Linked DNA regions of Canis lupus familiaris. The protein of the gene in region 6 purifies or fractionates together with the protein of the main gene of each other region. This does not show direct contact. Links are inferred from orthologs where the notes say so. Each region holds a gene or a part of one and is shown on either strand. Other genes may lie near its edges. The genes, in order: SF3A2, BCAS2, E2F-associated phosphoprotein, HNRNPU, SART3, PRPF8 and SNRNP70.

Region 1 (3,500 bases), on a different chromosome or scaffold from region 6:
CCAAAGTGGGACAGCTGCCCCTCTCTGCCAGCAAGTGGTGGTCTGTGCCTCTTGGACAAAGACAAGGCTTTCGCCCCTCCTGGAGCAGGTGGGGACCACGGGGCGCGATGGGTGCTAACAGAGTGTGCTTCCCTCCCCAGGACCCTTACTTCATGAAGAACCACCTGGGTTCATATGAGTGCAAGCTGTGCCTGACCCTGCACAACAACGAGGTGCGTCCCTAGTTCCGGGCTGGGCTCTCCTGCCGCCAGGTCCAGGTGCCGCCTGTCCCGCTCAGGCGGGACTCTGTGCCCGTCCGCATCCTGGTCGTGCTCTCCCTGCTAATTCTGGGACGTTGTTCAGGGCAACAACGAGGGCAACAGGCCCGGATCTGCTCGCTCACCTGAGTGCCCCCCATCTCAGCCTGCGCCCCCAGAGCCCGCTGCCGCTGTGGTGCGCCAGGGGCCCCTCCGGCGTGCTTCCCCTGAGCGTCGTCACTGCCGTTCCTGCACGAACTAGACTTGCAGCTGTGGGGCAGGCCCGTCCCAGACATTCTGGATTCAGTTTTTGAGATCTCATTAGTGTGGCTCTAGCTCATTTCTTTGAACGACCGTACATTGTCCCACGATGGTATAACTAGCGCTCAGGCTGCCCTGACCCACTCAGTGACAAATAGATTCCGTTTGGTCTTCTGCACACTGTGGAATGTTCTGATGGTCTTTCAGCGCGTGTACAAGTGGTGCTGACTCAGCCAGTCTTGCGTGTCAGGGTCTGTCCCCCTCAGCACTGCTGACGTCAGAGCCGGGTCATTCTCTGGGGGGTGCTGAGCAGCATCCCTCATCTTGACGACCACAGACATCCCCAAACGTGGCCCAGCGTCCCCCTGGTGGTCCCAAAACACATGGGGTTCACCTTGCTCTCTAGAGGTCCCCTAGGCTGCGGTCAGCATGGACGCGCAGGGTCACAGGGTGTGTGCACCGTTGGGTTTGCCAGCGGTTGCCAAGTAGTCTGCACCATCCAGCCAGGTCCAGTAGGCGCCCTCCCATGACAGGCGGCGAGACCTGCCGTGTCCCACACCCCGTGATTGCGGACCTTCGCAGACCTACTCTGTCCCACTCTGCATGTGTCTCATTGCACTTCATGTGGACCTGCTAGAGTTTGTTGATTCCGCGGTGACCCGGTGTCCGCTTCGCGCTGGGCCCTGTGAACACAGGCCGGCTCCTCTCTGCCCACCCGTTCACTTGGGCTGTGTGTGTGCTTTTCCCGCTCCAGGGCAGTTACCTTGCGCATACCCAAGGGAAGAAGCATCAGACCAACTTGTGAGTACCCCCGCCTCCTTCCAGGGCCGTGTCTGGTCTCCGAGGTACACAAAGCGCACTTGGGTCTGTCCTTGCGAGCCACGCTAGAAGCAGCCCAGCCCAGCCGTGCCTCGGGGCTGAGTGGTTAAGCTAACCGGTCTTGCTGGGGTGTGAGGCTTCCGTGACACAGTGGGAAAGAGATGAGGGCTCACGGAGACTCCCTAGTAAAGGACGGTGGGAAACGTGATGAGAAGGGACAGGTGCCCCGACCTTGTCCCATCCCCACTTCAGGCAAACCCTGGGACCCCCAGCCAGCACCCCCACGCCACTCGCCTCCCAGACAAAGCCCAAGGTCAATGTGGAGGCTGGTTAGCTCCCAGCACCTGGGCCTGTGGCCTTGGCAGCCTGTGTGGAGGGGCCACAGCGCTTGTGTCCGTCCCGCCTGCAGGGCCCGGCGAGCTGCCAAGGAGGCCAAGGAGGCCCCCGCCCAGCCGGCACCAGAAAAGGTCAAGGTGGAGGTGAAGAAGTTTGTGAAGATTGGCCGCCCGGGCTACAAAGGTAACTCTGGGAGTGTGGTCTGGCCTGCTGCTGGTGGTGCACGCGAACGAGCCTTTGGCACAGACCCCCGACCCTGTCCGTGAGCCACCGGGACTGCTGTCCGTTGGCCGTCGCAGCAGGGGCCCTCCCTCACCTGCACCGCTACGGGCACCCCGCTAGTGCCCCGGCCCCGCCTCTCCTGTGAACATTCCCAAACAACCCATCAGGGTGCCGTGGCTCCCCTGCGCCGTATTCCAGTGTCTCGGGAGCTGGGGATTCTTTACAGTCCTAGTGAGGGTGTGTGGCCATGGGGGTCAGCGATTCCCTTTCTTTTGACCTCGGGGTGGGGTGGGGCAGGGGGTCCGTGTAAGAAACCGCATGTAGGGGACTGTGTTCCTGGGAGCTAAAAGGAAAGGAAAAACTACCAGGCAGGTATCCTAACCAAGGGTAGGGACGCCGCGAGGGTGACGGGCGTTCCAGGCAGGACGGAGCCGTGCAGCTGTGCTTCATAAGCTAGGGCTCGGATGCCAGGATCCTTGTGGGGAGGCCACTAGAGGCCTTTTGGCCATAATAGGGCACCTGGTGTCTGTCCTGATTAAAGTAGGGGGACGCTTGAGGGCTGAAGGAGGGTGTGGCGTGCCTGGGAGCTGGACGGAGAGCAGCCTGGAAGTGTGGGCACGGCCACTGGCCTCTGATGAAGAGGGCCGCCTCCCAGAAGCCGGGTACGGGCATCGCTAGCCTTACTGCACCCACATCGTGCTGTCCCAGCCCTGCAGGTGAGGGCCGCAGAGCCCACTCTCCTGCCCACACCCCTCCCTGTGTGATCTCACGCGGGGACCCTCCTGGCCCTGGGCGTGGACTGCAGGTAGCTCTGGTGTATCAGCCAGCTGGTGTCCTCTAGTGTCCTGCCCTCCCGTTCGTGGGCAGCAGCCACGGTCCTTTATCTTCGGGGGGACACGCTAGTCGGGACTTGAGACCCTTGTGTGTTGCAGTGACCAAGCAGAGGGACACGGAGATGGGCCAGCAGAGCCTCCTTTTCCAGGTAAGGTTAAACCTGGAGTCCCATCCTGAGTGAGGGAGGGTCCCTTGAAAGGCGGCGTTGCCACCTGCTGTGTCCCCACAGATCGACTACCCTGAGATCGCCGAGGGCATCATGCCCCGCCACCGCTTCATGTCCGCCTACGAGCAGAGGATCGAGCCTCCGGACCGGCGCTGGCAGTACCTGCTGATGGCTGCTGAGCCCTACGAGACCATCGCCTTCAAGGTAGTGCAGGCGGGGTCCACCGATCCTCGTGGGCAGGCAACGAGGCTGGAGTGTCCCTCCAGCCACTCACGGGTGCCCCACCTGGGTCCTTGGCTCTGGCAGGCTGGGGAGGGACATCCTGAGGTCCCAGGTGCCCCTAGCCGTAAGAAGCCCTCGTTCCCAGGCTGGTCAGGGACCCCATGACCTCGTCCTGGGCCCAGACAGACCACGACCCTCCCCCGGGGTGGCCGGCTGGCGACGTGGGCCAGGTCAGGTACCCAGAGCCGAATCCTGAGGCCCCTCTGCCTCCACTCCCTGCACAGGTGCCAAGCAGGGAGATCGATAAGGCCGAAGGCAAGTTCTGGACTCACTGGAATCGGGAAACCAAGCAGGTAAGTCATTCTGGGTCCGGGCAGTTCTGGGGCTTTCGGTGGCTGCCCTGC
Region 2 (3,500 bases), on a different chromosome or scaffold from region 6:
TCAGTATGAAACGGTAAGTTGTATTTCTGGTTTCCGCTGGACCCAAATCATTGCTTAATTTTAAGTTACTAGTAAAACTGCCACAGCTATTGCTCTTAAAATGTTGAAAAGAAAAAAATCTTGTCTGGCTTTATGTTTATGTTTCTTCATGTAATAGTGGTTCCTATAATCCTTTGTTAATGTTCAAATGTATTCTTTGCACCATCATTTAAAAAGGCAAAATAGGGGTGCCTGGATGGCTCAGTTGGTTAAGCATCCCACTCTTGATTTTGGCTCAGGTCATGATCTTGGGGCTGTGAGGTCAGTTCCCTGTGTAGGACTCCACACTGGGTGTGGAGCCTACTTAAGATTCTCCCTCTGCCCCTCTACCTCCACTCACATGAACCCATGCACGTGGGTGTACTCTCTTTCTTTAAAAAAAAAAACGCAAAATGTAAAATCCAACAACAGAGGAATGGTAAATTGTGTTGAAGTGCATGTTCTTAAGAATTTTCAAGGAGGAGTGCCTGGGTAGCACAGTTGGTGAGCATCCAAATCTTGGTTTCGGCTCAGGTCATGAGATCAAGTCCCGCAAAGGACTCCACACACAGCATGGAGTCGACTTGGGATTCTCTCTCCCTCTACCCCTCCACCCCTCCACCTGTGCTTGCTTGCTCCCTTTCTCTAAAATAAATATTAAAAAAAAAAAAAAAAAGACATTTTTAAGGAAATGTTCCTGATTAGATGTCTAGTTCTTCACTGATCACATCTCTGGATGAAACCACGTTATGGTTTATAATGATCCTTGCTTCACTCTTGCCAAAGCAACATTAGTGAACACGGAGTGCTCACGTAGTCTGACATTGGTTCCACTGTCTTCCGTCCTGTGCCACTTTACTACAAAACTGCTCTCTGAGGAACAAATATCCAAATATCCTTTATTTTCTCTAAAATGGAGAATTGGATTGCTTTATGACTGAGATCCTTTCAATTTTAAGATAACTATGGAATTATGAGAAGCACTAAGTAATCTGTCAGAGCAGAGTCCTTTGAGAGAGGGCCACATGCACAGCAGGTCTGTCCTCTCAGCAAATGAGTAGGTTAGAAGAGGGATTTGAGTTTGTAGAACCAGAGTACCATATTGCTTCTCTTGGGCTCCATTTCCTGTCTCGCCTAAGTGGTAAAGGCAGGAGAAGATCCAGGATTCCTTAGTTCTTCCATTTCTGGGCGCTTCTGCTCTATAGATAATCATGACAGTACCTCCTTTATGGCACTGTGTCTCAAAGCAGAAGTAATGAGTCACTAAGCAATGGATTATGAAGGAAACTTAGCAGGTTGTCACAGTACTTTTCTAAGGAAATAGAATAGAAAATACCAGAATATACTGCATGTAAAGGTGAGTACTGTTTTGTGAAACTTCTGTTGAAGTATATGTATTTTGTGTACTGGATCACAAATATTTCTTAGTGTGGGTTATAATCAGAAGTTTGAAAACTGCCACATTTATTGCATATGTGTAAAGTTTTTTGTTTTTTTAACAAAATGGTTTGTCACTTCTATTTTTTGAGAGAAAGAAGGGGCAAGAGAATTTAAGTAGGCTCCACGCTCAGTATGGAAGCTGATACAGGGTGTCAAGGAATTGATCTCACAACACTGACTTGAGCACAAATCAAGAGTTAGAATGCTTAACCCACTGAGCCACCCAAGTTACCCTGGTTTATCGCTTTTTTTTTTTTAAGATTTTATTTTCTTATTTGACAGGGTGAGAGAGCACAAGCAGTAGGAGAGGGAGAAGCAGGCTCCCAGCTGAGCAGGGACCCCAGTGTGGGGCTCTACCCCAGGACCCTGGGATTAGGACCCTTATGACCTGAGCTGTATGCAGACACTCAACCAACTGAGCCACCAGGCACCCCAGTTTATCACTTCTTGATCCCAGTTGCATACCCCTCAGTTTTTCATAGGAATAACTTGGAGTTTTTAGAATTATCTAGTCAAAATATTAAAATGGAAATTAAAACTAAGTTTGTAGTAACTCATCAGTAATGAGCTGAGATTTATGAAGAGTGTACTTACTGGCTGTTGAAGGACTGTGTAGTGTGAAGAGAGAGAGTAGAATGAAGTCCAAATGCAAAGAATTACTATATTCCTTACCGTTGTTTTGTCTAGAGTGGCCTGGGTGTATGGATGGGAAGCTGGCTGAATATAGGTGTGTTTTACAAAAATGATAGCATAGGTTTTTTTGTATCCTATAATATACTCCAGTTGATTGTGTTCACATTGAAATAAACAGTTTTTTGGTACTGTGTAGAATGACGTTAAATCTTACCTGTAGGGCAGCCCTGGTGGTGCACCGGTTTGGTGCCGCCTGCAGCCGGGGGTGTGATCCTGGAGACCCGGGATCGAGTCCCACATCAGGCTTCTTGCATGGAGCCTGCTTCTCCCTCTGCCTGTGTCTCTGCGCCTCTCTCTCTCTCTCTCTGTGTCTCTAATGAATAAATAAATAGAATCTTTAAAAAAAAAAATCTTACCTGTAATGAGTTGTTTCTTAGGAGGATAAATAGGTTCTTATTATTGCACAATCTGATCTTTAATCTTCCATGGATTTTACATTGTGCATAGACCTGTGAGACCTTCTGTTGGAAGGAAGGAAAGATTTAGGGGAATATATGGTTTCATTTTATTTTTGTTTAATTTCAGATATGAACTTCCAGCCCCTTCCTCGGGTCAGAAAAATGACATTACTGCATGGCAAGAATGTGTAAACAATTCTATGGCCCAGTTAGAGCATCAGGCAGTTCGAATTGAGAATCTGGAACTAATGTCACAGCATGGATGCAATGCCTGGAAAGTATATAATGAGTAAGAAGCTTTGGTCTTTTTTTAAATACAGGAATGGGGCTTGGGTGGCTCAGTCAGTTGAGTGTCTGACTGTTGGTTTCAGCTCAGGTCATGATCTCAGAGTCATGGGATCAAACTCCATGTCAGGCTCCATGCTCAGCAGAGTGTCTGCTTGAAGATTCTCTCTCTCTTTCCCTCTGCTCCTCCCCCTGCTCACTCTCTCCCAAATTAATAAATCTTTTTTTAAAAAACGGGAAGTGGAATAAAAATAGTATAGTGAACTTTAATGTGGGATCATGTCCTAGAACTATTAAAACCCATATGAAAAGCCATTGCTTTGAGACCCACTGCCAAGAGTATGGAGGGGACTTAAACCTAACTATATTTATTGTATGACATTGTAATTAAATGAGTTCTGAGGTCTGAGTGACAAATTACTACATGGTGTAATGTAATCCTTAACGTGGGGGATTGCTCATACATTCGATTCTCATTAATTACATGTTATGGCCACTTTATAGTGGCCTTGAATACTGAATTAGCCAATACTGTACCATTTTTCCTGGGAGAAATAATATATGTGCGTGTATATATATACATCTCATATAGACTTCAGCCTTAAATCCTAAAAACAACTCATTCGGGCAGATTCTGTTTTCTTTCATAAAAAATAAAGCAAAGTT
Region 3 (3,500 bases), on a different chromosome or scaffold from region 6:
CCTTGATCATCTTAGCAAGGAATTGTCAGGTTTCTCTACTGTAAAGTTACTCTCCGCCCCTCCTGTCTATACTGTACTCTTTGGAAGGAAGTCATTATGTGCATTATGCTCCACTTCCTTGAGAGGAGAGTATCTTCATAAGTTATTCTTCCATCTGGGACATTTGTCTGTTCTCCCTCCCTCCGTTCTTCCCTCATTCATTTATTCAGTCATTAGTCATTTGTATCAGTATGGACTTGTGAGTATTTATTTATATTTTGTATCCAATACTGCTTTATTTTATTGTTCTAATTGTTTCAGCTTTGGCCAACTCTAATTCTTTGAGTTGGCTTCTGTGCCCCTTGATATATCTACCTCCTTGTTTTTGAGCACTTCCTTACTTCCTGGCACTACAAGATGCTCCAGGTTCATTTCATATGCCTCATTCCTAGAATCAGTCATTTCTCTTAGGAGTACTAGGTTCTTTTACTGGAGGGTGGCATTAGAAATCAGGGTCTCGGGGATGCTTGGCTAGCTCAGTTGGTAGAGCCTCCCTCCCTCCTTCCCTCCCTCTGAGAGGGTGGGGAGGGGTAGAGGGGGAGAGAGAATCTTAAGCAGGTTCCATGCCGAGTGGAGCCTGACTTGGGGCTTGATCTCACAACACTGAGATCATGACCTGAGCTAGAATCAAGAGTTCAATGCTTACCTGACTGAGCCACTCAGGTGCCCCAGAGCATGTGACTCTTAATCTTGGGGTCTTGAGTTCAAGCCCCATTTTAGGTGTGAAGCCTACTTAAAAAAAGAAAATCAAGATCTGGCTTTAAAGTGTGTGTCTACCCCCCCCCCCCCCCCCCCCACATTTTCTTTTTTTATTCCAGCTACCATGGTTTTGGAATACAGAGACCATATCAACAACAGCAGCCTGTTCCAAATAGTGATGCTGTCTTGAATTGCCCTGCCTGCATGACCACACTATGTCTTGATTGCCAAAGGTAATGGATAAAGGGTGTCATAGCACACCACAAACACACATACACACACATGCATACACAAAATGATGAAAAACAACTTGGTTTTTTGTTTAAATCAGAAATAGACTTTTGAGGTATATACTTAGGAATTCTGATAAAGTTCTGTCCTCCTGTGTCCTTGCTGCTACATAACTAATCTTTATACAAATAATTTTAGTTATACATAGTTCTTTTTTTTTTTTTTTTTTAGTTATACATAGTTCTAAGTAGTTTTTCCTTTTTCTTTTTCTTTTCATTTTTTTTTTTTTTTTTTTTTTAAAGATTTTATTTATTTGCTCATGAGAGTCACAGAGAGGCAGAGACACAGGCAGAGGGAGAAGCAGGCTCCATGCAGAGAGCCCGATGTGGGACCAGATCCTGGAACTCCGGGATCAGGACCTGAGCCGAAGGCAGACGCTCAACTACTGAGCCACCCAGGCATCTCATAAGTAGTTTTTCTAATAAAGCACATACTTAAAAGGATTCAGTGAAACTGCATATATATTGTGGAATGATGTAATCTGTCAAATACATTCTTTTTTAAAAAATTGTGATAAAACATAAAATTTACTGTTTTAACCATTGAAAACTTTTTATTAAAGAGTACATCATTTGGGTATTAAATTTATTGTCAACTAGACCATTTAAAAATTTAAAATCATTTCCTAGCTTTATCGAGATATAATTGACACATAACATTATGTAAGTTTGAAGTGTACAACATGATGATTTGATATACAAATATATTGCTAAATGATTACATAAGGTTAATGCATCCATCACCTCATGTATTTTCCTTTTTTTGTTTGTTGAGAACTCTTAAAATTAGTTTTTTTTAGCAACTTCAAGTATATAGTACAAGATTGTTAACTGTAGACATTGTGTTTATTACATCCTCAGACCTTCATCTTATAATTGGAAGTTTGTACCACTTGACAGTCTTCACTTGTCCACCCTTCCCCCACTAACCACCAGTCTACTTTGTTTCTTACTGTTCATTTTTTTTTTTGGATTTATATACAAGTGAGATCATTCAGTAATTTTTTGTCTATGACTTCATTTAGCTTAGTGCCCTCGAGGTTCATTCATGTTTTCACAAATGACAGGATTTTCTTTCTTTTTTTTTGTATTCCATTGTATCTATACACCATGTTTTCTTTATCCATTCACGTAGCATGTACACTTAGTTTCCATGTTTGGCTATTATGAATAAAGCTGCAGTAGGTTTTTGGGGAGAAGACCACAGAGGTAAAGTGTTGTTTTCATTACATTGTATCAAGGGCATGGACTATCAACAACAACAAAAATCAACAGATTTAAAAAATTAAAAAAAAAAAAAAAAAAAAAAAAAAAAAAAGGGATCCCTGGGTGGCGCAGCGGTTTGGCGCCTGCCTTTGGCCCAGGGCGCGATCCTGGAGACCCAGGATCGAATCCCACATCAGGCTCCCAGTGCATGGAGCCTGCTTCTCCCTCTGCCTGTGTCTCTGCCTCTCTCTCTCTCTCTCTGTGACTATCATAAATAAATAAAAATTAAAAAAAAAAAAAAAAAAAAAAACAGATTTATTAACTGTTAATGTTGACCTTGATCACCTGGCTGATGTCGTGGTGCAGATATTTCTTCGAGAGAGTGATTTCATTTCCTTCAGTTATATACCCAGAAGTGGGATTGCTGAATCATATGGTAGTTCTATTTTTAATATTTTGAGGCGCCTCCATACTGTTTTCCATAGTCACTATACCAATTTACATTCCCACCAGTAATGTGCAAGTGTTCACTTTTGTTTTGTCTTTTTGGTAGCCATTCTAACAGGTGTGAGGTAATACCTCACTACAGTTTTTATTTACGTTTCCCTGATGATTAAGGATGATGAACACCTTTTCATGTACCTGCTGGCCATTTGCATATCTTTTTTGGAAAAATGTCTGTTCAGGTTCTTTGCCTTTGCCTTTTTTTTTTCTTTGCTATTGAGTTGTATGAGTTTCTTGGATATTAGCCCCTTGTTAAATACATGATTTGCAAATATTTTCTTCCATTCCGTAGGTTTCTATTTCCTTTTGTTGATGGTTTCTTTGCTATGCTGAAGCTTTTTAGCTTGTTGGTTTTTTTTCTATTTCTGTGAAAAATGCCATTGGAATTTTGATAAAATTGCATTGACAATAGATGACTTTGGATAGTATGGACTTTTTTTCTTTTTTAAGATTTTATTTATTCATGGGAGAGAGAGGCAGAGACATAGAGGGAGAAGCAGGTTCCCTGTAGGGAGCCTGTTGCAGGACTCGATCCCAGGACCCTGGGATCACTTGTGAGCCCTTAGCCGAAGGCAGACACTCAACTGCTGAGCCATCCAGGTGTCTCACTATGGACTAATTGACTATTTATTTTTTAAAAGATTTTATTTATTTATTCTTGAGAGACACAGAGAGAAGCAGAGACATAGACAGAGGGAGAATCAGGTTCCTCACAGGGAGCCCAGTGTGGGGCTCGATCCCCACACCGGGATCATGCCCTGA
Region 4 (4,027 bases), on a different chromosome or scaffold from region 6:
GAGGTTTGCAATACTTCCTCATACTCAATTGCAACCCAACTGGGTAAAGTAGCAGTATTTACAGCGCTGCCATTGATACCATTCGCTGCTGAAGAAAGCTAGTAGCCCAGTGATAGCCCACTGCTGCTGCCCCAGGTCTTTGGAAGAAATCAACTTATGTTAAAGCAGCAGCTACTGAACTGGAATTGAGAACAAAAGAGCAGTTATTGAAAAAGTAATATTACAATCTTTTAGAATAGGGAATATACTTGTGTGCTAATGGGAAAAAATCATTAATACGTATTTAACTAGCCCAAATAGCTCACTTAATAAAATGCTACCAAAAAAATTAAATTACTTTATCGTAGGAGCCTAAAAGGACAAGTTACAGGTTGTCTTACAAGTTTCCATTAGCTAACTAAACCAAAAATTGCCATTAATTTTACATTCCTATAAATGAGAACTTTCTAATCATATAAAAAATAACACCAAATTGCTGGAGCCTATAAAATTATCAATACGACACAATTGATGCTGTATTAGACATTTAGCTACCAGAATCTGAATAAAACCTTTCGTCTCCCTCCTTTAAAAAAGGTAAACGGTTTACGCTAAGTATTCTGCATTTAAATTCAGCACACTGCGTTTAAGTTCTCTAACATTTTGGCACCAAAATCGCCACATTTAGTAACCGGGGGAGAAAAGGGAAGAAACAGCTTCACTTACAAGTATCAAGACAAACCACTGTGTCATCGAAGTGCTCATCTTCTTCTTCAACAGGTGGCTGAGGAGATTTGGCTCTGAAAGACAGAATTGTCTCCTGATTCAGCTTTTCCTACCCCAGAAAGAACGGGGACGGGTAAAACTAGATCGGCATCCTCTACCTGCTATACTTGTTCTCTTCAATGTACTCAAAATATCCACGGCCATGATCTTCTCGAGGTCTTTTCACCCCTCTCTTTTTATCTCCGCCCTTCTGCTCTGTTTTGCCGTCTCCTATAACACACAACACCCCTAACATAAGGGGCCAAGCCGCGACGCAACCGGGGAAAAAGAAAAAAAAATCCCCCCTCCTGTTTGGGGAACGCAAATACTCCTAACTCCCCCGTTCTTTTCTGCAAGCGATTTCAACCGACGAATCCAACGCGAATTCAAAGAACAATCAGCTTGGAACCGGCCAGGAGCTAGTGACGCAGTCTAAAGACATTCCTAATTTTGCCAGCCTCTTCGAAGATTCGAGAAAGCTCCCGGAGCCCAGGGCGGCCCCGGCCCCGAGCCCACGTGGATCCCGGAGAGAGTTCAGGAAGGGGGGAGGGGCCGCGCCGGCCCGCGCGCCCGCCCCTCCCCTCCTCCCCTCCCCCACCCGGGCCCGCGTTCCCCGCGGCCGCATTGTACTGATCTTCCGCCCCGCTCTCCCCGCCCGGCCCCTCCCGCCGGAAGTGACGTCACGCCGAGCCCCTGCGCTCCTTGCACAATACCGCGGCCCAGCGCCGCCAAAGCGCGCCCGCCCCGGGCCCTCGGGCCTCTCTTCTCCCCTCCCCCCCCCGAGACATGTGCCCGCACCGCGCGCACGCAGCGCAGCGGCGCCACCGCGGGCCGACCGGGCTCCCGCCCGCCGCCCGCGGCTCCTCCCCCTCCAGCGGCAGCTGCAGCTACCACCCCCACCCCCCGGCCCTCCAGCCACATAATGGAGGCGCCGCCGCCGTCGCACACGCCGAGCCCGAGGCCGCCGAGGCCTCGCGGCCGGGCGGGATTCCCCGCGCCCCCTCCCCCCCGCCTCCCCCGCGGCGGCCCCCGCCCCCTCCCCCCCGCGGGGCTCCGGCAGGCCTGGGGCACGGTCCCCACCCCGCGCGGGCCTCCCGCCGCGCGCAACGTACAACGCAGCACTCACCCGCCGCCGGAGCCCCGGGGCGACCGCCGCCTCCGCCGCCTTCCGCCTTCTTCTTACCTCCCGCCTGCTGCTGGCCCTGCCTCGCCCCGGGCGGCGCCACCGTCACCGCGAACAGCGAGGTGGGGCCGCTGCTCTTCCCCGCGGCCTCCTTGGCGGCCCCGCGCTGCTGTGGCGGCTGCTGTTGCGGCGTCGCCGGCGGTTGAGGCTGCTGCTCCCCGTGCCCGTTCTCGTCGCCCGCGCCTTCCTCCTCGTCGCCGAGCTCATCCTCCCCTTCCTGGAAGCCCTGATCGTCGCCGTTCTCGTCCTCCGAGGCGGCCTCCTCCTCCTCCATCGGGCCCGCGTCGGCCGCCCCCGCGGCCCCGTTCTCCTCTCCTAGCTCCATCTGGTCGCCATCCAGGGCGGCGATCCCTTCCTCCTCCTCTTCCTCCTCCTCCTCCTCCTCGTCGCCGCCGGCCGCGGCCTCCTGCTCGAGGCCTGCTCCCGAGCGCCCGGCGGAATCCCCGCCCAGGTCTAGGCTGCCGTTCCCGGGCTCCATGGCGGGGCGGCCCCCGGCCTCCTCGTCGTCCAGCGCGGCCTGGAGGCGCTCCATGAGCTCGGCCTTGAGGCCCTTGTCGGAAAGGCGCCGCTTCTTGAGCTCCTCTTTCAGCTCCGAGACCTTCAGCTTTTTTACATTAACAGGCGAGGAACTCATGGTGAGGGCCCCGATTCACCGCTAGGCGCTGGCTCAAACTCGGCTCCGCTCCCTCGGCCACTGGTGGCGGCTGCTGCGGCTGCTCCTCGGCCCGGGCGGCGGCTGCGGCTGCGGCTAGAGGTGGGTTCGTGCTGCAGAGCGGACCCGCCTGGTGTCGAACGGCGCCAATTCCTTTCACCGAGTTCGCGAGGGAGACGCGGAGACTCGCCTGGCGCGAGCGAGCACGCAACGTCCTCTCGCAGGGGCGGCGCCGCGCACGTAATATAGGCGCCCCGCCCCCTGCGCTGACGGGAGCTCCGCTGCGGGGGGGAGCGCGCCCGCGCCGCGGGGCCCCGCCCCCGCGCCCCGCCCCCGCCCCCGCCCGCCCGCCCGCCCTGCCCTCCCCGCCCCCACGCCCAACCCGCCGAGAGCGCGGCGCCGGCCGCGCAGTGCGCTTCCCGCGGGGCCGAGCTGGGGGAGGAGGGGGGCCGCCTTTCGGTTACAGCGATCCGCCGCAGCCGGGCGGCCTCCCGAGCTGGGTGCTGGCGGCCCTCGCCTCGCTCTCGGCCCCCGGGCGCGGGGCTGCTGCACCCAGAGCCCGGCGGCCCCGGCCCCGGCCCCGGCCCCGGCCCGGCGGCTTCCGCCCGAGCCCTCGGCCTTGCTTCCATCTTGGATGGGCCTGCCTCTTTCTCTCGCTCGCCAGCCCGCTGCTTAAAACGCCTCGAAATCTTATTTCCGTGTTGATGTGTACGGCACGGACGGGCAGGCCCTGCCCGCGGGGGGTGCCTTCCGTCTCGCATTTGGTGGAATGTTCCCAGGCCCTGCCCTGCGCCCTGGATTTTAGGCTCGGGAAGGGCGAGGACAGAGCATCCCTTTTGTCTCTTCCCCAGCCCGGATGGCAGGGCTGGTCCGGCCGCCCCGGGGCGGGAGAGCGGGGCGAGCCTCGGAGGGGCACGTCCGCCCGCCCAGACGGCCCCCCGCGAGCTCACGCCCCCGGATCGTGCCCTCCGCCGCCTCTCCCCCCCCCCCCCCCCGCAGGAACACCCCCCATAAGTCGTGCTGAAGCCAGTAAGAGCTCAGGACGAGTCAAAGGGCCGGGATTTTCTAAGAAAGAAAAAAGAGACAATCGGCTCCCGAAATCTGTTGTGTATTTGGGTGTGTTTTAGAAGTTTGATTTTTCCCTTTTCCCAAATAAAAGGCATGTTAGGTTCTTGAGGTTGCGCACAGGGGGCCAGCACTTAGATACGTGATAGAGGGGCGCATGCGACACCCCCAAGAAAGCCTGCACAGTGACTAGACAACGTCCCACTATCAGAGAGCTCAGTCCTACCCACTGTGTGGTGCTGGAGCTGGAGTAGTGCTGCCCCGAATGTTAACTTGAAACTGGAGCAATACTAGCAGAGGCCAGTATGATTTAACCGTTGAATGCATTTTATTTTTTCAAGTTTCTTCTCCATAGCTTCCAAGAACCATGTGTTTTACCACTC
Region 5 (3,500 bases), on a different chromosome or scaffold from region 6:
CTGTTGTTTCAGACGTCTGATAGCTTTTTAAACAGTTATTTTAACTTGTTTTAACTTTTAGTTTGAAAAGTTTCAAATCTATAAATCTGTATACCTATCACTCAGCTTCAACAGGTACTGCCATTCTTGTTTCTCCCAGTAGGGATTTTCACTTTTGTGTGTGTTTGTTTAGTAAAAGAAGAAAGCTCTTATAGAGCTGGCAGGTGCTAAAGCATGTTATTAATCACCTTTTGAAACCCTCACAAGAACCTTATGGACTAGACCCTAGTGGTATTCCCATTTTACAGATGAGGAAATAGAGGCTTGGCAAAGTTAATAACCTAAGGTCACACTGTGTGTGTGTTTGTTTCATCGGGATGTTTCCTGTATTTCAAAGAAACCTAACTACGTTCTCCTCCAGCTAGAACAGATTGGAAGAGATATGCATTTATTAGAGAAAAAGAGATTTTCTTTCTCTTCCTGGAGGTAAATGTTGTATCACTGTCTCAGTGGCTCTCCCAGATAGCACATTTGTTTGTTGCAGACATGTGCATTGTTCCCGGTGGTTAAAAGGTGCTAGGTTATTTTGATGGTGGCATTTTAAATTTCACCTGGTGTTCTTTTCCTTTTAGCTATCTATTAACGTCTATGACTACAACTGCCATGTGGATTTGATCCGGCTGCTCCGCCTGGAAGGGGAGCTTACCAAAGTGAGGATGGCTCGCCAGAAGATGAGTGAGATCTTTCCTTTGACTGAAGGTAACATATCAGCAGCGAGGCTGCTTTAATAAACAGAGAACTGAAGAGTATATATTCTGTTTTCAGAGCTGAAACTGGGACGTGTTACTTACAGAAATCTGGAACATATAAATAGAATGCAAAGAAGAAAACCCATCATCCATTGTCCATGATTTCTAGTTTTTCATCCTCTAGTTTTTTTTGCAAAACTTAGTTGTGATCATATAATCTTGATTCATATTTTGGATTCTGTTGTTGTTTTTTTTAATCCTATGTCATGATGAAAACTTTTTATGTGATTAAACTTTTCCCGTGTCTATTTTCCATTCCAGTGTTTATATATTTAATCCATTCTCTCAGCACCACATAATTGTATTATAATTAAACTGTTGTTTTCCTTTTTTTTTTTTTAAGATCTTCAGAGAGAGAGAGAGAGAGAGAGAGAGAGAACAAGCAAGGGGAGCAGCAGGCAGAGGGAGAAGGAGAGGCAGGCTGCCCACTGAGCAGGGAGCCTGACATGGGGCTCGATCCCAGGACCCTGGGATCATGACCAGAGATGAAGGCAGATGGTTAGCTAAGTCACACAGGCACCCCTAGTTAAGGTTTTATAAACAATTTTTAATGCAAATGTTTTATACCTTGTTTGTTACACAGTATTTGGGCATTTAGGTTATTTATACTTACTTGCTTATTTGAAACATAATTACACCATGCATCTTGTAGAAGAGTGTTCAGGAATGTTTATTATAATTGATCTTTTAGGGAGGCTTTGGAGAATGCTGGTCCCAGATCCAGCTCTGTCCCCCTCTCTCTGCCCAAAAGCATAACTGCTGAGTATGAAATCAGATTGCCCAGATTCATTCCTGGTTTTATTATTTTACTAGCTGTATGACCTTAAGCAAATTATGTAAACATTGTAAGACTCAGTTTTCCCAGCAGTAAAATGGGCTAACAATATCTTCTGCCTTATAGTACATGGATTGGATGAGATATCCTATGTACAACATGTAACAAATACTCTAGAATATCGTAAATGCTTTGATAAATGCCATTAGTATTCATTATTATGACTATCATCTACAGGAATTTAACAAAGATTGAATGAGAAATATATATGTGTAAGTATTTCACAAAAATAATAAAATGCCCAACAGGTGTAGGGTATTATGATTTTAGTTGTTTGATCTTATTGGAAGCATAAACCTTCTATGTGCTTGGTACAGGTTTTAAGAATTGAATTTCTGTGAACCGTAGCAAGTTGTATATGGTGGGTAAAATGCTTGTGTGCTCGTGACTCAGAGTAAAGTCCCTGCTTTCATCCTGCCCTTCGGGGAAGGAGATGGTGATGCAGGAGGTGCTGTTGTCTTGCAGAGCTCTGGCTGGAGTGGCTGCATGATGAGATCAGCATGGCTCTGGACGGCCTGGACAGAGAGCACGTGTACGAACTCTTTGAGAAAGCTGTGAAGGATTACATTTGTAAGTTCCCCATTCACTTTTTCTAAGTGTCTGTGAATGCATCCATCTCTGCTGCCCTGGGTTGTACTGTGAGGTGTGCCCCCAATTCAGAAAGGAGGGGGTTAGTCTGGCAGTTAAAAAGATTTGAGTTTACTTATTTTTCTGTGGTTTTCATTTGAGAATATTTGGTTTTAAAATACATAGAAGAAACCTTTGTAGTAAAGGAGTGAATAAATTCACACCTAGTATCTTTCTGGCGGGGAGAACTTACATAGTATTTCCAGATGACTAAAGGTTGCCTTTTACATGTTGAATGGGTTTTTAGAAGTTTTGGACAGAAAACTGTTTTTGTTTTTTGTTTGTTTGTTTGTTTTTTTGATATTAAAAAGTTATTAAAACCTTTTTATTTTAAAATAATTACAGATTTACGGGAAAATAGTGCAGAAAGGTTCTATACTTACTTCATCCTGCTTTTCCCAATATCTTGTAACTATTGCACAAAATCAAAACCAGGGAATTAATCTTAGTGTACAATGTGTGTATCTACCTCTGAGATTTTATCAAACATGGAGATTCTAGTAACCACCACTGTAGTTGAGATACATAACCCTCTATCCCCACAGATGTCTGTGTTGTCTGCTTGAGTTGATGTTTTGCTAGCACAGGTGGAGGGTAGACCCCTCTCCCTTTAAGTTTCTTTACCCTCCCCTGTTGGTAGCATGATTCTCTATTCTCTCTCTCTCTCTCTCTTTTTTTTTTTTTAAGATTTTATTTATTTGTGAGTGACAGAGGAGAGAGAGGCAGAGACATTGAGGGAGAAGCAAGCTACCTGCAAGGATCCTGATGTGGGACTCGATCCTGCATCCTGGGATCACACCCTGGGCCAAAGGCAGATGCTCAGCTGCTGAGCCACCCAGGCGTCCCCGGTTCTTTATTCTCTGTATGTACATTTAGGACACATCAGAGAATGCTGTGGGCAAAATGTTTTTTAAAAATATTTTTTAAAAAGCACTCCTTTTATTTATTTATTTTTTAAAGGTTTTATTTATTTGAGAGGGTGTGCATGCAAGCTGGGGGAGTTGGGAGGGGAAGAGCAGAGGGAGAGGGACAAGTAAACTCCATGCTGAGCACGGAGCCCAATCCTGAGATCATGACCTGAGCTGAAATCAAGAGTCAGATGCCCAACCAACTGAGCCACCCAGGCGCCCCCCCCGCCAATGTTTTCTCCTTTTAAATTAAACATCCTTCTTCCATATCTGGTTCTCCCCACTCCCCACTGGGGGAATTTCACCTTGTGAGAATCCCTGGAACTTGGAAGATAGACTGCC
Region 6 (2,934 bases):
CTGGCTAAGTGGAAGACAGCTGAGGAAGTGGCTGCCCTGATCCGATCTCTGCCTGTAGAGGAGCAGCCCAAGCAGATCATTGTTACTAGGAAGGGCATGCTGGACCCATTGGAGGTGAGAGGTGGATGAGGTAGAAGAAAGAAGGGCTGAGACCTGCAGGCTCTTTTTTAAATTTTGGACTTGATATCCTATTTCAGGTGCACTTGCTGGACTTCCCCAATATTGTGATCAAAGGATCAGAGCTCCAACTACCTTTCCAGGCTTGTCTCAAGGTGGAAAAGTTTGGAGACCTCATCCTTAAAGCCACTGAACCCCAGATGGTTCTCTTTAATCTCTATGATGACTGGCTCAAGACTATCTCATCTTACACGGTATGAAATCCCCTAACAAAGAGGGTCACTCTAAGAGAGGTGGTTTTGGGGCCACGAGACAATCCTGTGCCTTCCTTACCTTTTACTCAGGTTCCCTAATGAGGCCATTTTCACATCTTTAACCTGTGGATAACAATTCTATGCTCTGCATGTAAAGTTGACTGGGAGAGTGGTTGAAATCCATTCCTGGGTTCCCTGAAAGGAAATCAAGGAAGGACATCTAGTGGCTGACCTCCCCCCCCCCCCCCGCTGCCATACCTTTTCTCAGGCTTTCTCCCGTCTCATCCTGATTTTGCGTGCTCTTCATGTTAACAATGACCGAGCAAAGGTGATCCTGAAGCCAGACAAGACTACCATTACAGAACCACACCACATCTGGCCCACTCTGACTGACGAGGAGTGGATCAAGGTGGAGGTGCAGCTCAAAGATCTTATCTTGGCCGACTATGGCAAGAAAAACAAGTGAGCAGTGGTGGTGGGGAGACAGATGGAAAATCCTAAAAGGGTGAAATGAATCTTTTAGTATATGGTTTCTGGGGTTTTGGGAAACATGTGGGTTCAGAAATTTTTCAAGGTATTGTCCTAAAGATGCCTATAGAAAAGAGGTAGGCAGTGTCTTCAAATAATGCAGAAAATGTCTGTTTTAGGGCTTTAGTCTGATTCTAGGACATTTTCCCATGTTGCCATTTTGAGCAGGGCATTTCTTTACTGTCCATACATTACAGGAAGTTTTAATATCCCAGATCCCCAGGTACCACTGCTAATAGCACAGACACACCTCTTCTTCCCTTTCCCTGTCATTGTGGCAACCAAAAATAAAAGTGTCCATAGATTTCCAGATAACCCTAGGGTGACAGACAATATTAGCTGTAATTGAGAACGAGTTCTAAAGGTTTCTATTTTTAAGAATTGTCCTAGAAACCAGGGCACTTTTTATCAAAGAAAGGAGGAAGGTATGGCTACTGAGCAGGTTTGAGCATGGCTGAAAGCTGTACATGCACAGAGCCATCCTGGGCTGTGATAAATCTTAGCAGTATCAGTACATCTCCACCTCATACTTCTTTTACAAGTGCCACTTGAGATGTGTCTGGGGTAAGGGCATTGGGTCCCCTGTCCTACCAAGTTACATTCTGTCACTTGGACAAAATTGACCAAGGGGAGGGATCTTGTGGTATTATCCTTGCTTTCCCCACAGCGTCAATGTGGCATCACTGACACAGTCAGAAATTCGAGACATCATCTTGGGTATGGAGATCTCGGCACCATCACAGCAGCGGCAGCAGATAGCAGAGATTGAGAAGCAGACCAAGGAACAGTCACAGCTGACAGCAACGCAGACTCGCACTGTCAACAAGCATGGCGATGAGATCATTACTTCTACCACCAGCAACTATGAGACCCAGACTTTCTCGTCTAAGACTGAATGGAGGGTTAGGTACTCTAAGGAATGAGAGGGATAGGGATGGCAAAACCTATTGATGCTACCTGACATTGTAGGCCTCAGAAGTGCTGACATTCCCCACCGTTTTTAGGGCCATCTCTGCTGCCAACCTTCACCTAAGGACCAATCATATCTACGTGTCCTCTGATGACATCAAGGAGACCGGTTATACCTATATCCTTCCTAAGAATGTGCTTAAGAAGTTTATTTGCATATCTGACCTTCGGGCCCAAGTGAGTAAGTGTGTTTAATTAGGCCATAATGTGTGCCCAACATTTTATTTGCCTAAAGCTCACCTAAGATTGCCTAGAACTTGAGGTGCTGGTTTCAGGATTTATGCATGAATAAGTATATAAGAATAGCTGAAACAGCAAGAAGGATTTTGGCTCCCACCAAATATTAAAACGTTATAAAGCTGTGGCAATTAAGAAAATGGTGTATTGGCCCACAATTGATTGGAAGACGATAGCGTATAGTCAGAAACAGATTCATGTGGCTATGATAAATGTGTAACAGGTCTGTAGGATTAAGGATGTGTTAATGATACTGAAACAATCAGAACCCTACCTCACAACACTTAAAAAATAAAATGCACATAAAGATGTGCATGTAAAACAAAACACTAAGCTGTAGAGTATTAGAAGAAAATAGCTAATTACCTTAGTTTTGGGGTGGTCTTCTTAAGACACAAAACATTAAATTATAATCAATAACTTGTGTGAGACAAAGACATACTAAAAACAGTGCTCGCTTCGGCAGCACATATACTAAAATTGGAATGATCAGGAGAAGATTAGCATGGCCCCTGCGCAAGAATGACACGTAAACTTGTGAAGCGTTCCATATTAAAAAAAAAAAAAAAAAAGACATACCAAAAACAGGAAGAAAATATTTGCATAATTCTAAGATAAGATGGGTAGAACCTAGAATAGGGAATTTGCAGAAGTTCATTAAAAAAAAAAAAAAGATAGGGACACCTGGGTGGGTCAACGGTTGGGTGTCTGCCTTTGGCTCAAGGCATGATCCCAGATTCTGGGATGGAGTCCCACATCCGGCTCCTTGCATGGAGCCTACTTCTCCCTCTGCCTGGATCTCTGCCTCTCTTTCTCATGAATAAATAAA
Region 7 (3,133 bases), on a different chromosome or scaffold from region 6:
AGCCTAGAAGTACACATGTCACATGATTTCTTTGTTGGTACTCCTGGGTTGGGCCTCTTCTGGGGTTTGGGACATTGAACCAGAGCAGGGTTCCTTTGCTTGACTGTGCTCCCGGTCCTTAAATCCCTTTCCCGTAATACCCTCCTCTGGGTTTGGGGGGGCCAAGTGGCCCCTCCTCCAGATCACGGGCAGCACTCCATCTCCTGGACCCCCCACCCCCAGGCTGTCCCTTATGTGCCAGCCTTTGAGTGGCAGGTGGTGGGAGGGAGTGTGGAATCCAAAGTGGAGAAGTCCTTCCATGTGCTGCGAGGAGGGTGGGGCGTGTGCCTAGTTCAGTGTGGACTTTACTGGGAAAGGTGAGGGCCAACAGTTTTGCTAAGGCCTCCCCAGCCTTCTTTTTAAATACAACAAGCTAGTTCCAGGGCATTACCAGCTCCTAGACTTGATGTTAATCCTTGTCTCCCCCTCTTTCAAGGCCTCCATGAGGTTTCTTTGGGGTCCACCACTGCCTCTGCCTGTCTCTAGGTGGTGCAGGAGATGTGGTTCCTCTCCCTCTCTGTGGCTCCCTAGAACCCCCCCATTTCCCTTCCCTGTAGCTTTAGCTGACCCTATGGTGGTGGGTGTGGGGTCTGTGCGCGTGCTCAGGTAAGCTTGGGGGCTCCAGGTAAGCGGTCCCGTGTCCCCCCCCGGGAAGCCCGCCTCCTCGCCAGGCCCCCAGGAGTTGCCGAGCCCCCCCCATCCCGCTCGGTTTGGACACCCGCAAGGCCGGCATCGGTAAATGGCACCTTTTTCTCTTCCTCTGGTTGTTATTTGGGGGGGAGAGGGCTGGGGCGGGGCAGGGTATTGTGGTTGGTTGAGGACAACCCCCTAGGCCAGGGCTGGGGGTGGGAAACGGACTTTTTTTGCCCTCCTGATGCCCCATGGGAGACAGGCCTGGGATTGGGCCTGCCCATCGCTGTGCCCTGCCCAAGAGCAGGAATATGCCTCTTCCTGAATCTCTCCCTCTACTCCTCACCCTTCCCAAGAGGCTCCGGCTGGGGTTGGCCTCCCAGCCCAGCTTGTGTTGAGCTGGGGGTGTGGAGGGAGAGATGGAATGGGGGCTGGGATTGGGTGGCAGTCAGTCGGCTCAGGTAAGGCAGGAATTGTCAGTAGCACCGCACGCCTCCCATACCTTCCTCCACTTTCCCTCTGCCCTAGCTGCTGTAGGGGGGCCCCTCCAGGCCCCCTGGGAGCACCATAACCCACCCTTCTGCTCCCTGTCATCTCCTAAAGATTTCTCCCACCCTTTTCTGGTTCATTTTCTGTTCTGATGTCTGTTCTCCCCACGCTCACCTCCGCCCCCCCCCCCCAAAAAAAAAAAAAAGCAAAAAGGAAAACCGGTGTGAACTGGGGTGCAGAGCGGCCCAGCTGGGCCTCCTCCCCCAGCATGATGTTTTAGGGTGCATGCCTGGGGTTGTGGAGGAGCCCTCCCCCACAGCAGAGTCCAGCCTTAAGTTAACCTCCAGTTTCTTTGCAGCATCTTTGGCCGCCTGGGCAGGAGGGGGCTGCTCCGTCGAATGGGAGTAGGGAAGGGCCTGGGAGCCCAGGAGAGGGTGGTTGGGTCGTCTTGCTCCCCACAACCGTCATTGGGGGATAATACACAGGTGCCGAGATGGAGCAGGCCCCTCCTGGTTTGGGAGAGGGTTGGTCTGGCTGTCAGTTTTGACTGGCTGGCTGGTGTGCGTGTGTGTGTGTGTATGCGCGCGTGCACGCACGTGTGTGTGCACAGTGTGTTGATGGGGACGTGAGGGTGGGGATGCTGCAGAGCTGGGCACTGTCCTGACTAGAGGACCCTCTGGGGACTCCTCCCCCTTCCCCCTCCCCGCATCTGTTGCAGCCGCTTACAAGCACGCAGACGGCAAGAAGATTGATGGCCGGAGAGTCCTTGTGGACGTGGAGAGGGGCCGAACTGTGAAGGGCTGGCGGCCCCGGCGGCTAGGTGAGCACTTCCTGCCCTGGCTGAGCCTTGGTGGGCCTGTACTCTCTTATGCATCCTCTGCTGCTTGCTGTCTTCCCTTCTCCTTTTTGCTTTCCTGGCCGCTCATCACGTCCTCCCTTGCTTCCTCCAGCTCCTCTTCTCTTGTCACCATCATTATCGTTCCTGGTGGCTGACTTCTCATTCTGGTTTACTGATTAGGAGTGGGAGCACTGTCTGGAGAGGCGAGTGTGGGATCAAATGTCAGCTTGTGTACTTACTAGTTGGTGGATTTCCCTGCTTCATTTTCCTTATTGTAGAAATTGGGGCTAACCTCAAGAGTTCACGGAGCTCAGCATACCAGATGCCTAGATGCCTAGCTTGGCATGTGGCATGTGACGGGGCTTGTAAATATCACTCTCTCATCTACTTATTCTTGATTCTTGCTCATTTGTTTATTCTTTGATTACCAGCTATGTACCACATTTTTAGTCAGGAGCAAGACAGATGGCCTGTGTCTCTCTCTGATTGTTACTGTGTTAAAATCAGTTTGGTTGTAAGTATTGGAAATACATTTGAGGTTTTTAAAACATAAAGGGAGCCTTATTGATAGAGAATCCTGGAGGTCCTTTGGAGGCCAGAGATGTGTGATGCCAGTGGGCCTCGAGGACCTGGTAGCTAGATTTTAAGCTTGTCAGGAGCCACCTTTGCCATTGCAGCAGCTTGCTTCCACCTTGTCTGCTGTCTGTGCAGACTGGTCTCTTCTGTGTTTCCCTGCACTGGCCCCATGAGTGCTACACCTAGTCTTGGTGAGTCTATACTTCCGGGGGGTTGGATCTGAGTGGCTCTTCATTGGGCCTGGACCTGGGGCTGCTGTCCTGCCATCTAAACATGCATGTTAAGGACCTACTCCTGCAGGGGTGAGTGACAGTTCTCTAAGAAAGATGGTCACCCTGGACTTGCCTGTGCAGCGTAGACCACACACTCACCTGCCGAGTCTTGGAACAGTAATAGGTTCTTATCGCCTTCATTTCTTGAGGGTGGAGTGAGTTTTTCATAGTCTGCTATTTTCTGTTGTAGAATCCTGGAATCGCAGAATCTTGTAGTTCATTTGGCATTCAGACTTTGGCATAGCAGTACTTACTACATCCTGACCCAGTATATATCTGTGGAAAAGTA

Evidence for each region.
Region 1: the proteins of PRPF8 (region 6) and SF3A2 purify together in Homo sapiens (affinity purification with mass spectrometry; 3 studies listed by BioGRID and IntAct, with this or other methods). This does not show direct contact. The link is inferred for Canis lupus familiaris from reciprocal best matches to the Homo sapiens genes PRPF8 and SF3A2.
Region 2: the proteins of PRPF8 (region 6) and BCAS2 purify together in Homo sapiens (affinity purification with mass spectrometry; 3 studies listed by BioGRID and IntAct, with this or other methods). This does not show direct contact. The link is inferred for Canis lupus familiaris from reciprocal best matches to the Homo sapiens genes PRPF8 and BCAS2.
Region 3: the proteins of PRPF8 (region 6) and E2F-associated phosphoprotein purify together in Homo sapiens (affinity purification with mass spectrometry; 4 studies listed by BioGRID and IntAct, counting the BioPlex papers as one, with this or other methods). This does not show direct contact. The link is inferred for Canis lupus familiaris from reciprocal best matches to the Homo sapiens genes PRPF8 and EAPP.
Region 4: the proteins of PRPF8 (region 6) and HNRNPU fractionate together in Homo sapiens (co-fractionation; 3 studies listed by BioGRID, with this or other methods). This does not show direct contact. The link is inferred for Canis lupus familiaris from reciprocal best matches to the Homo sapiens genes PRPF8 and HNRNPU.
Region 5: the proteins of PRPF8 (region 6) and SART3 purify together in Homo sapiens (affinity purification with mass spectrometry; 4 studies listed by BioGRID, with this or other methods). This does not show direct contact. The link is inferred for Canis lupus familiaris from reciprocal best matches to the Homo sapiens genes PRPF8 and SART3.
Region 7: the proteins of PRPF8 (region 6) and SNRNP70 fractionate together in Homo sapiens (co-fractionation; 3 studies listed by BioGRID, with this or other methods). This does not show direct contact. The link is inferred for Canis lupus familiaris from reciprocal best matches to the Homo sapiens genes PRPF8 and SNRNP70.

What each region holds. Positions count from the first base shown.
Region 1 is NC_049241.1:57,260,975-57,264,474, reverse strand, and holds part of SF3A2 (splicing factor 3A subunit 2), read left to right. Parts: intron 1-140; coding exon 141-212; intron 213-1,251; coding exon 1,252-1,298; intron 1,299-1,725; coding exon 1,726-1,835; intron 1,836-2,806; coding exon 2,807-2,856; intron 2,857-2,937; coding exon 2,938-3,078; intron 3,079-3,380; coding exon 3,381-3,449; intron 3,450-3,500. UniProt on the Homo sapiens protein: Component of the 17S U2 SnRNP complex of the spliceosome, a large ribonucleoprotein complex that removes introns from transcribed pre-mRNAs.
Region 2 is NC_049238.1:52,811,323-52,814,822, reverse strand, and holds part of BCAS2 (pre-mRNA-splicing factor SPF27), read left to right. Parts: coding exon 1-13; intron 14-2,676; coding exon 2,677-2,838; intron 2,839-3,500. UniProt on the Homo sapiens protein: Required for pre-mRNA splicing as component of the activated spliceosome. Component of the PRP19-CDC5L complex that forms an integral part of the spliceosome and is required for activating pre-mRNA splicing.
Region 3 is NC_049229.1:13,544,231-13,547,730, reverse strand, and holds part of E2F-associated phosphoprotein, read left to right. Parts: intron 1-857; coding exon 858-971; intron 972-3,500. UniProt on the Homo sapiens protein: May play an important role in the fine-tuning of both major E2F1 activities, the regulation of the cell-cycle and the induction of apoptosis. Promotes S-phase entry, and inhibits p14(ARP) expression.
Region 4 is NC_049228.1:35,785,603-35,789,629, forward strand, and holds the start of HNRNPU (heterogeneous nuclear ribonucleoprotein U), read right to left. Parts: upstream 2,801-4,027; 5' UTR 2,562-2,800; coding exon 1,871-2,561; intron 976-1,870; coding exon 864-975; intron 780-863; coding exon 706-779; intron 1-705. UniProt on the Homo sapiens protein: DNA- and RNA-binding protein involved in several cellular processes such as nuclear chromatin organization, telomere-length regulation, transcription, mRNA alternative splicing and stability, Xist-mediated transcriptional silencing and mitotic cell progression.
Region 5 is NC_049247.1:18,673,732-18,677,231, forward strand, and holds part of SART3 (squamous cell carcinoma antigen recognized by T-cells 3), read left to right. Parts: intron 1-611; coding exon 612-738; intron 739-2,088; coding exon 2,089-2,193; intron 2,194-3,500. UniProt on the Homo sapiens protein: U6 snRNP-binding protein that functions as a recycling factor of the splicing machinery. Promotes the initial reassembly of U4 and U6 snRNPs following their ejection from the spliceosome during its maturation.
Region 6 is NC_049230.1:45,746,488-45,749,421, reverse strand, and holds part of PRPF8 (pre-mRNA-processing-splicing factor 8), read left to right. Parts: coding exon 1-114; intron 115-197; coding exon 198-371; intron 372-639; coding exon 640-833; intron 834-1,566; coding exon 1,567-1,806; intron 1,807-1,903; coding exon 1,904-2,045; intron 2,046-2,555; exon of another isoform or gene 2,556-2,662; intron 2,663-2,934. UniProt on the Homo sapiens protein: Plays a role in pre-mRNA splicing as core component of precatalytic, catalytic and postcatalytic spliceosomal complexes, both of the predominant U2-type spliceosome and the minor U12-type spliceosome.
Region 7 is NC_049222.1:108,017,718-108,020,850, reverse strand, and holds part of SNRNP70 (U1 small nuclear ribonucleoprotein 70 kDa), read left to right. Parts: intron 1-1,876; coding exon 1,877-1,978; intron 1,979-3,133. UniProt on the Homo sapiens protein: Component of the spliceosomal U1 snRNP, which is essential for recognition of the pre-mRNA 5' splice-site and the subsequent assembly of the spliceosome. SNRNP70 binds to the loop I region of U1-snRNA.